Linked DNA regions of Arabidopsis thaliana. The protein of the gene in region 1 interacts with the protein of each later gene in a biochemical or structural test. Each region holds a gene or a part of one and is shown on either strand. Other genes may lie near its edges.

Region 1 (8,518 bases):
CGGACGGTAGGTTCCAGTTTGCCAAATCAAATTGGTTTTTGAAGAAGTTAGCTCTAAGAATTAAAACATCATGGTACAGACAAAACATTTCTGCATGTTACATCGGACTCTCCTGTGTCCGAAACGCATCAAATTTCTGCAATCCATTTCTAAACTCAAGCGGCACATCACTCAGATCCACGCTTTTGTAATCAGTACTGGTAATTTACTTAATGGAAGCTCTATTAGTCGAGATCTCATCGCTTCATGTGGACGAATCGGTGAGATCTCTTATGCACGTAAGGTGTTCGACGAATTGCCGCAGAGGGGTGTTTCTGTTTATAATTCCATGATTGTGGTTTATTCTCGTGGAAAAAATCCAGATGAGGTTTTGCGACTTTATGATCAGATGATAGCTGAAAAAATTCAACCAGATAGCTCAACGTTCACTATGACGATCAAAGCGTGCTTAAGTGGTTTGGTTTTAGAGAAAGGAGAGGCTGTGTGGTGTAAAGCAGTGGACTTTGGGTATAAAAATGATGTCTTTGTTTGTTCATCTGTCTTGAATCTGTATATGAAGTGTGGGAAAATGGATGAAGCAGAGGTTTTGTTTGGAAAGATGGCGAAAAGAGATGTTATTTGCTGGACAACAATGGTGACAGGGTTTGCACAGGCTGGTAAGTCGTTGAAGGCTGTTGAGTTTTACAGAGAAATGCAGAATGAAGGGTTTGGTAGGGATAGGGTTGTGATGTTGGGTCTCTTACAAGCTTCTGGTGATCTCGGGGATACGAAAATGGGCCGTTCGGTTCACGGGTATTTGTATAGAACAGGTCTTCCTATGAATGTAGTGGTTGAAACCAGCCTGGTTGATATGTATGCAAAAGTTGGGTTTATAGAGGTTGCTTCTAGGGTGTTTAGTAGGATGATGTTTAAAACCGCAGTTTCGTGGGGGTCGTTGATCTCTGGATTTGCTCAAAATGGATTAGCTAATAAAGCATTTGAAGCTGTTGTGGAAATGCAGAGCCTTGGGTTTCAACCGGATTTAGTGACGCTTGTTGGAGTACTTGTGGCGTGTTCGCAAGTCGGGTCATTAAAGACTGGTAGATTAGTACATTGTTATATTTTGAAAAGGCACGTTCTTGATCGAGTAACCGCAACTGCTTTGATGGACATGTACTCAAAATGTGGCGCTCTTTCAAGTTCAAGAGAAATCTTTGAACATGTAGGAAGGAAAGACTTGGTTTGTTGGAACACAATGATATCTTGTTATGGAATTCATGGAAACGGTCAAGAAGTTGTATCGTTGTTTCTCAAAATGACGGAATCAAACATAGAACCCGACCACGCCACGTTTGCATCACTTCTCTCTGCTCTTAGCCACTCGGGTCTCGTAGAACAAGGCCAACATTGGTTCAGCGTCATGATAAACAAATATAAGATCCAACCGAGTGAAAAGCATTACGTTTGTTTGATTGATCTTCTTGCACGTGCAGGGAGAGTCGAAGAAGCTCTTGATATGATAAACTCTGAGAAACTTGACAATGCTTTACCAATATGGGTTGCTCTTCTTTCAGGATGCATTAATCACAGGAATCTATCAGTCGGGGACATTGCGGCTAATAAGATTCTCCAGTTGAATCCGGATAGTATTGGGATCCAAACACTGGTTTCTAACTTCTTTGCAACTGCCAATAAGTGGAAAGAAGTGGCCAAAGTGAGGAAGTTGATGAGAAATGGGGCCATGGAGAAGGTACCAGGCTACAGCGCGATCGAAGTAAATGGGGAGCTTCGAACTTTTCTCATGGAAGATCTGAGTCACCATGAACATTATCACATGTTGCAAGTGTTGAGGAACTTGAAAACTGAGATAAGAGATGTATGTTCCGGAGTCGAATAGTTCTGTCTCTATGAGCATCCATTCTTATTTCAGTATGTATATATACATCCATTTCTGACTCATGTGGCCCTATTTTGGAGTGAGGTTTTAGTCAAAAACTCTAACAATACATTCCACGCGTTGAACAAGAAAACCAAACCGGGTCAATTTCAATTTTAGTGAGAAGAAAATACCAAGAGGTTCTTGGTCCCTTTGAGAAAAGCAGAGTACCAAAGTGCAAATTCAAGTTAATTGACAAATGTGAAAGAGACTTAAGAATTGAGACTTATTAAAGAGACTAAGAGAGTGATAAACCCCTTAAATAATGTATTGAGAAACCCTTACCTTTGTGGCTTTGTGACACTGGTTTGTATGGTTGTGGCGGACAAATTCGTTTGCGGATTGAACCATTTTATATATTATAGTCCGTAAGAGTATGGATTGAGACAAATAGAAGAAATCCGTCGTGGACCAATTTATATAAAATAAACTTGATTTGGGGTGGATTGTTGTATGTCCCAAAAATAGAGTAACGCTCCAAAACTAAATAACACCAAAAGAATTAAGAATGCACACGATCTCTTAGTTGTCTTTAGTCTTAACTAACCATATCACTTGACTACAAAAAATAAAAAGACACACTCACGTTGAGAAACTGATGAAGCTGAACGATCTGTCTTCTTTGATTTGATCTTTCTTATTTTTTCGTGAACAATCTCTAAAATATTCCCATTAAGGCATTAACCATGTGAAAACACTTGTACGTGTGGACTATATAGTTCACGTGTGTATGAGTACGGGAGCATTGAATAATTATCGCTACGGCAACCACAAATAAATTGATGTGAACAACGCTGAATACTTTCCATTTTTCAACTTTGTCTAGTAAAAAATTACTAAAATAATGTTCCAATTATGGTTTTTAGTGAACATCTTATTGTCATTGGTGATTCGATAATAGATGCTACGAGACATGTTATTTGTTCTTGGAAGAAAGAGGTACGTAAATTCTCAAAAGGGTCTTTCAGTGTAAAGAGGCAGCTTTGACTTTGCTAACACAAAAAGTCTCCATATGATTATTTTCTTTTTCTTTTCAGAAGTTAATATTCTCAATTTCTCATAAACATTTTCAATTCTTTCTTTTGTTATTGGTTGAATAATTTTGTTGAGTTTTATAAATGATGTTTTAATGTGAAAACCAAGAAACAATTGATCATTTAATTAGTTTCTTGATTAGTGTGCTAAAACCTTAAACATCAACTAAGATCAAAAAGAGATTAGGTAGTTGTGGTCAACCACCTTTGATGATAACTTTCTCATTTCTAGTTTTCTAACTATTTTGTTCATACTGCCTTTTTTTTTTCCTTGTACTCGTAGAACACTTTTTATTTACTTACTATCACTTTGTAGTACTCTTCACAAAACACTTTTAAGTTTTCTCTAAAAAAAACTATGAGTGTAAATAATAAAAGTATACGTACTAGCGTTAAATGGCGATATTTGTAAAAATAGTTATTGTACTATTTGTATCACAAAAATTGCAAGTAGTTGATTCAAATGGTAACCTATCTATAGACGAATTGGTACCAATCGTCACCAAAAGAAATTTCAGTTATTACTACTCATTAATCCGCTAAAATCCAAGATCAATAATTCACTAAATTCTGCTATAACATTGTAACATTGTTGCTATCAATAATCAAATTATTCTATTAGCATATAATTATTAGATCCACAAAACTTATCTACTAGAGCAGAAGATTCCACCAAAAGTTGCTTCCGACCCACATATCCAATTCTTTAGGACAAAAATATTTATTACAATCTTTTAAGAGGAAAACAATGTAACATGGACACCAAAATAAAGCCGCCTTTAACGGTGACGGTAACGGTAACGGCGTTTGAGTGCTCTTGACAATACATGAAAATTTAGTAATAGAGTTAAGAAATGAAATTAATAGAGTTTGGAGTGAGACAAAGAGAGAAGAGAAGATTAGAGAGAGGAGAGGAAGGGTCAAAGAATACATAGCATCACCACTAGTCAACGCTTTTATAAAACTTCTTCTTCGTCTCCTCTCCTTCTCACATCTCTCTCTGTCTTTCTCTCTCAAACCTAACAAAAGCTTCAGACTTCAATTCTTTAGCTACCTCTCTCCCATGGCAGTAAGTGTTTTCTTTCCTTCTTTCCTTCTCCTCTTCTTCTTATTTAGGTCTAGAGCTTTCTCTCAGATTATAGTTTTTGTTTCGATTCCGTCAATCTCTGACCCTTTTTTTGGAGGATTTGTAGAAAGTTGAGTCTTAATCTATTTGCATTTATGGTTCTTCCTATTGAGATAACATTTCTATGGATTGCGATGTCTATTAGTATTCAACTTTATGATTCTGATTTGCTTTAGATAAGAAAAGGGTTTTATGAAAGTTACTATTTTTATGGTAAAGTTTCTATTTTTGCTTAGCAAAGATTTCAACTTTATCATTGTACTTGGTCGAAATCGATAAACCCAATTTGTATTTGTTCTGTTTTGGATTCTTAAGTGAATTTGCTATCTTGTTTCTGTGATGATTGTTCTTTAGGATGTTATGTTATTGAATGTTTTGTGGAAGGACATTGTTGTTGAATTGTTTGTTGCAACAGCGTTCGAATGTACCAAAATTTGGAAACTGGGAAGCTGAGGAGAATGTTCCTTACACAGCTTACTTTGACAAAGCTCGTAAGACTCGAGCACCCGGTAGCAAGATCATGAACCCGAATGACCCGGAGTATAACTCTGACTCTCAATCACAAGCTCCTCCTCATCCTCCTTCTTCCAGAACCAAACCTGAGCAAGTTGACACGGTTAGAAGATCACGTGAGCATATGAGAAGCCGAGAAGAGAGCGAGTTGAAACAGTTTGGTGATGCTGGTGGTTCATCAAATGAAGCTGCTAACAAAAGACAAGGAAGAGCTTCTCAGAACAATAGTTATGACAACAAGTCACCTTTGCATAAGAATTCTTATGATGGTACTGGAAAATCTAGGCCTAAACCTACCAACCTTAGAGCTGATGAAAGTGTAAGAATCTCACTTTTAACCTCTAAAGTGAGAATATCTCTGTTTGTTGCTTATGTGTTGTCATCTGTTTATATATAGCCTGAAAAAGTCACAGTGGTGCCTAAATTCGGTGACTGGGACGAGAACAACCCGTCATCAGCTGACGGATACACGCATATCTTCAATAAAGTCCGTGAAGAGAGAAGTTCTGGAGCAAATGTGAGTGGATCTTCAAGAACGCCGACTCATCAAAGCTCCCGTAACCCGAACAACACTTCCTCAGTAAGACATTCTTTAAAACTCATTTTCAAGTATAATCATTAGTGAATACGTATTCAAATAGTGAGTGTGTGTTGAACATTGGTTTGTCTTGTGCAATTTGACAGTGTTGCTGCTTTGGCTTTGGAGGAAAATGAAAGGGACCGGAAGATTGTATATAGTTATCGAGAAATCAGTGTGTAATCTTGATGATTAGACATTCGTGCTTCTTTAGATGAAATAAGGCATAAGTCTCACTTGCATAAGATTTTTATAGTATAATTTTTGTATGTATATTTTGCAATTCTTCCTTAATACTTTTGGTGTTTTCATAAGACACATTCCAGTTTCGGATCTGCTTGCAGATGCATTATATCTTGCTTGGTACGGCCTGAGTGATTTGGTAACTGATTTGATATGAATCAGAGATATTTGGGTACCTCCAAGTTTGTTGTTTCTAATGTTCAAAGCCTTAACTCTGCACCACTATAAAGAAAGACCCATAACTTTTTATATAAAATCAAGATTAAGATCTTTGGAGGATGATGACTCGTATGGTCCATATGATATGGACATCAAAGAAGAACGAATTGACACTTGTTTCCTATATGGCTTTGTACAGTGTAATCAGGTTTGATTCTCCAGCTTTATGTACTTACTATTTCAGCATTCTCTATGCCCAATAATTAGACTTAAATGCAATCTTTTTAAACCCGACCTGGATGGTGAACTAGACTACTTTTTAGGTCACGGGGTCAATGGATCAACCGGATTCGACCACGGATCAATTGATTAAAATTTATTTAATATTATAGAAATTATTAGTTTGTATAAATATAAATATAAAAATAATTATACCATGGTCTAACAATAATAATAAAGTAATTAAATATTTAAATCTAACTAAAAGTCTAAAATAGTAACATATACTAAAATAGTAGGAGTAATGACGAAAATAAAATAATAAAACATCGCGAATTCAAAACAACTAATCTCGGTTGTCTCTATCACCATTCCATTCGTTTTTTTAGGCGGTATTGTGAGATTTTTGTCAAAATCTAAAATATCTTCTAAGTCTTAAGAATTAAAAAAAAAAATCTAAAAATAACCGAATAAAGTCTAAACTCTTATATTTTATTCCAGAATCAAATGAATTTTTAAACCACCATTCTTCAAGCTTTGGTTGATACTTGGTTAGCTTGAAAAACGGTTTAGTGATTTGGAACATGCGAAGAAAGCTTATGATTCTAGTTTGAAACATTAATCTCGTTGCATACCACTCAGAATCTCGCTTGATGATTTTGAAGAGAAGGTGAATGGGCTGAATCCTAATTCATATTTGATATGATCCTAATATGATTGTAATGACTACCTGGTTTTGTTACAATATACGAAAGACCCATTAGATAAGTATATAGTAGATGTAGAAAACATAATAAGATTGAATTTTTGGAGGTTTGATTCGAAACCAAATGAGCCATTTAATATGTTGGACATATGTGTCCAATGATTTGATTAGTTCAGCTAGAGTATTACATGGATTGGACAGTGAGTTTGTTCCACTTTCTCCGATGTATTTGTGGCGCAGTGTTCGTCGAGAATTAACTACATTAAATGACTGCAAAGCTAAGAATGAAAAGTTGTTGGAAGATAAGAATGCAAAACTATGGAAGCTATGAATGGTGTACATTGTTGCTTTGGACAAAACATAGTTAACGGATTGATGTATGCAAAACTACATGGGGGTACCAGCATTCTACTCGAGATGCGGAATTGTATAAAATTACTATTGACTTTACAATAACCTATGAGGCAAAGGTGGTAATTTGCAAAAATGGTAACAAATTGAAATTTGGTAATGGTGGATACATTGATGTCAATCTTGAAATAAAGCTAACTCTAGTTGGTCAAAAAAATAAACGTAAGGCAAAATTGTGTTGTTATAGAATATTTCTTAATCGGTAATCAAAACTTGTGAGGTTGTAATATTTTGCAGGAGATGAGAGGAAAAAAATGGCTAATTAGATTTTGATTATCTTTTGGATTCTTAGTACTCAAAACTTTTTCCTTAGTAATAATGGCGAACACATTTTGCACTTTGTAATTTGAGACTAATCTCATAAAATCATTACGGTTCATGCTAATTATACACATAGAAAGAGTAAAGCAATGCTATTATGATGCATCGAAACGGGTATACAACCAAAAAACAAAAAGAATGGCAAAAAATATACAAACAAATAAATATAGGATTAAGACAATTACAATAAAAACAAATACATAAGTTAAAAAGAAAGTCATACTTAAGTCTCAACGTAATATTTTTGAAAATTCTTTAATTTGAGTTTAAAAAAATGATAAAACAAATTTTCTTTTAAAAAAAAATCCGGCTCATCAAGTGAGAATTGCAAACATCAAGAATCTCATATATATGTGCCATTGTATCATATCAAATGTCTCTCTATATCAACATCTTACATCTTAGTCTACACACATATATATTGAGTTATTGATCAAAATTCCTTGATAAAAGTCGTAGATTCTTGTGGATGTAAATTAAATATTTCAATTTGAAAAAGATTATCTACTATGGTGAGAAACAATTTCCAAAACACTTCATTGTCCCTCATATATCCCTATATAGATTAATTTTTGCAGGATCCTCAATTTGCCATACATACTACATTATTATAAAATCTAAACATATATGAAAAATATTATTATAGTAATGGCACAAAAATGAAAGTAATAATGAGCATTATTATTTCTTTTGTCTAGTTTCTATCTCCAATTGTGTTCGAGATTGAAACACAAACACACAATTGTTTTGTCGACGATCAGGATTTCATCCAAAATTTTTCACTTTCACAGTATGAGTTTGAAACACAATTGTTTTGTCTCTTAAGTTAAAAACCTTTGAATTTAGCTTCCCGCGATTTATTAGTGGGCTGTGAAGGCCCAAAAGAAGCCCATAAAATGAGTCGGCCGGATACGATGTATACATGATCGTCATCGACTGAAACCTAAAAAGCCCTCCTAGACGACGATAATAATGTTGATCGGAGGATTTGAGGATAAGGACGCAGCTGATATTATAATTCCGGCCTCTGAGAAACTACTGGAGAAAATGCGGTGTATGTAATTCCTTCTTTCAATCTTCCAAAATTATTAGAATTGTGATTTGTTCGCAGAGTCTTTGATTAATTTTTTGCATCTGCTGCTAATTAGGTTTTCGATCTAAAGGGTTATACGCTTGGACTACAAGCTAGAACCTGTAATAAATGGTCTCCTTGTCCTGTCTTAGTCTTACTCTATGCTACTCTGGGCCTTCATCGTTACAATTTGCTTCAGGTCAGAAAATATATATGATTCAT
Region 2 (5,819 bases), on another chromosome or scaffold:
TAGTACTTATAAAGCACAATCAGTAGAGTTTCACCACGCTTTACACCTTTTGCTTAGGTGCCTCCATATTTCAGAAATAGTAATTAGAAGTTTTAAATGTTTCTCATTTTCTGCATTGATAGGTTGCTGCCGTTTTACTTATTGTGCATTTGATTGTGAAACTGGAAACATCTGGCGCAGGAGCATTGTCTATGGTTTTAGTTGAGAAGATCAAACTCATATCAGAAACTGTAAGTTCCTCTCTTTTGGATCGATCTATATCTTTGGTCTTTTCAATACACCTTTCAAGGCCTTGTCATATCTGAATCTGTTGCTTGTTTAACAATATGCTGACAGCTTTGTGCTCAACCTGCTTTTTCTGAGTTGTTGGCGCAATATTCAAAACTTGGTTATAGGTAAGACCATTATTTCTTACATTTTTGCTTTTCCAGCATTTCTTTGCTAATTTTCAAATTCAGTAGCACATTTATCTTTCTTAAATCTACAGTCGGCAGTGCTTCTCCTTAATCTTTAATTATTCGTTCTCATGTTATTCAAAAGGTTTACCACTGTTTCACATTTTGCTTACAATCTATTGGGTTCTATTTCTAGTGGAGGAAAGGAGTTGATGCCTATGATTTTCAGCGATCTATACTGTCATCTTCAAGGAAAACTTGAGGGTCGTGATATCCCAACTGGTCCTTTCAAAGAGCTTTTCCAGTTTCTAGTGGAGACGAGCTTTTGGGAGAAATATAAACAGAAAACTAATAAGGATGTAAATATGGCTTTGGGGGACTGTTTGTTTGACACTCAGCAAATACAGACTGAATTAGGTATTGATATTTGGGATTTCTCTGAGTGGAAGACATCTAAAACAACGGCAGAGGAAATGTTGAACTACATGCAGAGAGCAAACTCGATGGTTTTACTCTCAACTTCGCAGCTCTCTGTTTTGCATGCATTGATTTCCGTCTTGATACTTTATGAGGATAATGTAAGTTTCTCTGTTTTAATTAGCTTTTCTGAGTTTATCCCATCATAATACATTTATGGGCTAGATTGTTTTTCCTCATTTAACGTTTTAGCTAATAGCTGACTCAAACATACTAGACTATTGGAGTACATAGGCCGGTTTAGATTAATTCTATTTGTTCGGTTTAGTATTGGTTAGATCTTATACCACACTTGTATATAACAGAGTAATTGTACAGTGTAATCATTAAGATGAATGAGAAAGTTCTAATGATTACACTGTACAATTACTCTGTTATATACAAGTGTGGTATAAGATCTAACCAATACTAAACCGAACAAATAGAATTAATCTAAACTGGCCTATGTACTCCAATATAGACGGTAGAAATGTTGTATGTCCCACTTTTGGGATCTTAATTTAAGATTTCGGTACATCTAAATGCTACACCTTATGTGCAGTCTCTTGAAGAAAGTGCAGCTGCGGAAAGGAAAATCCCTTCTCGAGTCACTCTTTTAAGCATTGATAAAGTATGCCGAAAATTTTGCACCACGGTTGATTCACTTGCCTCTCTCTGGGATGCACCCAAGATTGTGTTTGATATTCTTACAGCACAGGCAGACTTGCTATCCCGCCTATTGAAATCCGCAAAGAAAAATCTTTCATTATCTGTATGTGCACTTGTCCTGAGAAATGTTGGGCCTGGCCTCAAGATCCTTGGTAGTTTGAGGCATTCAAATGCTATATTGAAGAAGACGATAAACCTCCTGCTTGAGGTGCTGCTCCTGGTTGTGGGTTTTGGTTCAGACAACTCAAACTCGAGTGGGATGGGACATATGGTGCTAGCCAAAGATTTTGCAGAAATATCTGATGCTACAATTGGATTATTACCCCTTCTCTGCAACTTCATGGGGAATCCCGAGTACTTGACTCTCTGCCTGACCACAGTAGACTTGATTCTCAGGAATTTTTTGACGCCAGAGACATGGTTCCCTATTATACAGAGTCAACTCCGCTTGCAGCATGTTATTCTACAGCTTCAGGATAAGAAATCCACAACATCCGTTTCAGCAATACTAAAATTTTTCTTAACTATTGCTCAAGTTCATGGCGGTGCTCAGATGCTTCTAAATTCTGGATTTTTCTCGACTTTAAGAGCTTTGTTAATGGAGTTTCCGGATGGAATGTCTACTTTGGTATCTGACAATGAAAAGGGCTCGCTGCTAGAAAAGACAGAAAAAACTCAGCATATCTGGGGAATCGGTTTGGCTGTGGTTACTGCCATGGTTCATTCTCTAGGATCTGTTTCTGCAGGGGCTGATATTGTGGAGAGTGTCATATCTTACTTTTTCTTGGAGAAAGGTTACATGATCTCATACTATCTCGCTGCACCAGATTTCCCTTCTGATGATCGTGACAAAGTGAGGCTACGAAGTCAACGGACGTGGACTTCCCTTGCTTATCTGAGAGTAACCGAGCATACTCTCCTTCTGCTGTGTGCATTAGCTAGCCATTGGAGATCATGGGTTAAAATTATGAAGGATATGGATTCTCCATTAAGAGAAATGACAATACATCTCTTGGCCTTTATCAGCAAAGGCGCTCAACGGCTTAGAGAGTCTCAGAGCCACATATCTCATCTGTTATGCCCTCCAGTAGCGAAAGAAGAGTTTGATTCCTGCAAAAGACCGTCTTTCATCAATACCAAACACGGATGGTTTTCGCTAGCACCTTTAGTTTGTGTTGGGAAACCCAAGATCACTGCAGTATCTATCTCGACTGCTCTAGTTGTTAGGGGAGACACAACAGAACATCCTGGGTCTGTTCCTCAATCGCAATTTTCAGACTCAGTTGCGATACAGATATATAGAGTGGCTTCTCTATTGTTGAAATTTCTGTGCTTACAAGCAGAGGGTGTTGTTACGAGGGCAGAGGAAGTGGGATATGTCGATATTGCTCATTTCCCTGAGCTTCCAGAGCCGGAGATTTTACATGGTCTACAGGTACGTTAATTCGAGACCAAGAACGGTTACTGGTTTCTATTTTTTTTTTTTTTTTTTTTTTTTTTTTTAATCATCCTCTCTTTGCTTGGTACTACAATGTGTATATTAAAATGCAGGACCAAGCGACGGCGATAGTCGCTGAGCTATGTGATAATTACAAATCCAAAGAGATTCCAGATGAAGTAAAGAAGTTGTGCCTTATGCTGATCCAAACGACAGAGATGTCGTTATACTTGGAACTCTGTGTAGTTCAGGTTTGCAGGATCCATCCTGTATTTGGGCGTGTGGATAACTTCTCCAAAGACTTGAAAAAACTAGTGAAAGGTAACAAGTGTTTCTTCCATAGTAATATTGACAAGACTATTTTGGGATTTGGTGCCTTTTTTAAAATACGATTTAGTTGCAAGGAAAAAGTGAAAACGGTTTCGTAACATTGCTGCTTCTTTTGTTTTGTCTCGATCAGCTGCTGAGGTGCATACCTACTTAGAACCGTCCATAGATTCACTGAAGAAAATAGCTGCGTTTCTGTATCCTGGATCACTTTAGAAACAAAACAAACATGAGGACCATGCTTGAATGTGGTACGTATGTATTAGATTCCTTCCTTGATGAGTGATTAAACCGGCTATTGTACCATTGGTATATGTTAGTCATATAATAGTATTATTCTCTTTATTTCATATCATAGCTTTAAAAAAATGTTCGGCTCATGCTGTCCACTCCTTTTGGGCCGCTCGTTGCTTTCATTTTTTTAAATTGCTTACCTCTCAACAAATTCTTTTGATTGGTTCTCTCTCTGACTCTAGGCCGCAGAAAGTGCAGTTCCGAATAATTCTCACTCAACTAACTTTTGATAATCACTTATTCTAGATTATTCTGATTTTTGAATTCCCTCTACTCTTGAACACGTTTACTTACTATGAGGAAAAATTTAACCCTAAAAAGAAAACCACTCATTACAGCTAACATTTATGAGGGGTGGACTATTGCGCAAAGCATTGATAGTGTTAATTGAAAGTCATGCATATAGTATGCGTTACTACTAAAGTTTAACGGTTCAATTTTTTTGAATTTGAACTGACAGTAAATAAAATTAATTTTTAAGATTAAAAGACGTTGTTTTTAGCAAGTTGTTTAGAAATTGTGGGACACGTGTGGCACGTTGCTCCAGGAGGGGCATATGCCAAGTCTGAGATACTCCAACGCACTGACTGACTGACCCCTACTTAACCGGTGGTCAAACTCTTAACCTAACCACGGTTAAGATCTTAAAGCCGTTGAGATTTTCCCACATGTAATAATCTTGTTTATCTGTGAGATATTCGCCGCTTCCCCTTGGCCGGCTATAAATCGATAACCTCACCGATAAATCCTCTATTCATCATCCACAACAAACCTCTTCTTCAGTCTGATAGAGATCTCACGTTTCAAACAACAAGAATGGCGTTCCCTAAGGTATACTTCGACATGACCATCGACGGCCAGCCCGCGGGAAGGATCGTGATGGAGCTGTACACCGATAAGACTCCCAGGACTGCCGAGAATTTCAGAGCTCTCTGCACCGGAGAGAAAGGTGTTGGCGGTACCGGAAAACCCCTTCACTTCAAGGGATCTAAGTTTCACCGTGTGATCCCTAACTTCATGTGCCAGGGAGGAGATTTCACCGCCGGGAACGGAACAGGCGGTGAGTCGATCTACGGGAGCAAGTTCGAGGACGAGAATTTCGAGAGGAAGCACACCGGACCGGGGATCCTGTCGATGGCGAACGCCGGTGCAAACACGAACGGATCTCAGTTCTTCATCTGCACCGTGAAGACCGATTGGCTTGATGGGAAGCACGTGGTGTTTGGGCAGGTCGTGGAAGGCTTAGACGTGGTAAAGGCCATCGAGAAGGTTGGATCATCATCTGGAAAGCCGACGAAGCCTGTGGTTGTTGCCGATTGTGGTCAGCTCTCTTAGGATCTTCCTATCATCATCCTTAATTTAGCATCATCGTCGTCATTGTGGTGTCTCTTTATGCTTTTGCTTTTGTTATGGAGTCTTTTTAAAATTTGTAGTCATAAGTTTGGTGTGTGTTCTCATGGGAACATATATAAACTTGCCCCTTTAATATTAACTACCAGAAATAAGGAATGAGCACTCTTTTATCATATCTAATTTACGTTACCAAATTTCATCTTTGTTATCTGCATTTCCGTTGGAACAGATAAAAATACTTGGTCGAGTTTTTGTTCACCTATCTAATTAATGGTGGACGACGTTATGATCCACGTTGACGCAGAGGGGCTACACCACCACAAGGTCTTGGTCTAAAAAAGTAACACACGTGATTCTGCAGAGAAGCAAATTAGAAAACCCAATTAATGGCAATAATAATAAACAATACCAGTGGGCCTATTTTTTTGTTTAAATCACGGGTTTGTCGATAAGATCAACTTTAGTGGGCCTTCAAATATAATTGCCTTCGTACTCACTATTATATGAAAACGAAAATTTTCCACCTGAAGGCCGGCCCATCAAATCAGGCCCCAAACCAGTTTTAAAATCCACACGATTTTTCTGGAGACTGTGATGAATGATTGATGACATACCAATTACCAAATCAAATAAATGTTTCAGAGAAGACTGAATCTCATATTTATATGCAGCCAGCAGGGACGCATATGCCTTTAATTACGATTTCAGAATAAAATAATTGTGAGGGAAGCCAATACGTGTGAAAGCCAAAAATGAAAATAGTATAGCTGCTGTGATTTATTTGCTTGCTAACACAAATTTCATTTTTTGGAAGATTTCACGTTTGTGTACTCAGTTTTCGTAGAATATAAAAAACTCATCTTACAACTATAAATAAACAAGGATTA

Evidence for each region. The genes of interacting proteins can lie anywhere in the genome.
Region 2: the proteins of RIN4 (region 1) and ROC1 form a complex in vitro, tested with the Arabidopsis thaliana proteins (one study listed by BioGRID).

What each region holds. Positions count from the first base shown.
Region 1 is NC_003074.8:9,128,446-9,136,963, forward strand, and holds RIN4 (RPM1 interacting protein 4), read left to right. Parts: upstream 1-3,692; 5' UTR 3,693-4,012; coding exon of another isoform or gene 4,013-4,018; 5' UTR 4,019-4,445; coding exon 4,446-4,907; intron 4,908-4,985; coding exon 4,986-5,168; intron 5,169-5,272; coding exon 5,273-5,302; 3' UTR 5,303-5,643; downstream 5,644-8,518. Other genes in the region: AT3G25060 (Tetratricopeptide repeat (TPR)-like superfamily protein), read left to right, coding at 71-1,876.
Region 2 is NC_003075.7:18,082,715-18,088,533, reverse strand, and holds ROC1 (rotamase CYP 1), read left to right. Parts: upstream 1-4,282; 5' UTR 4,283-4,395; coding exon 4,396-4,914; 3' UTR 4,915-5,139; downstream 5,140-5,819. Other genes in the region: AT4G38760 (nucleoporin (DUF3414)), read left to right, coding at 123-230, 337-395, 592-973, 1,414-2,955, 3,072-3,279, 3,419-3,501. UniProt on the Arabidopsis thaliana protein: PPIases accelerate the folding of proteins. It catalyzes the cis-trans isomerization of proline imidic peptide bonds in oligopeptides. Involved in de-etiolation.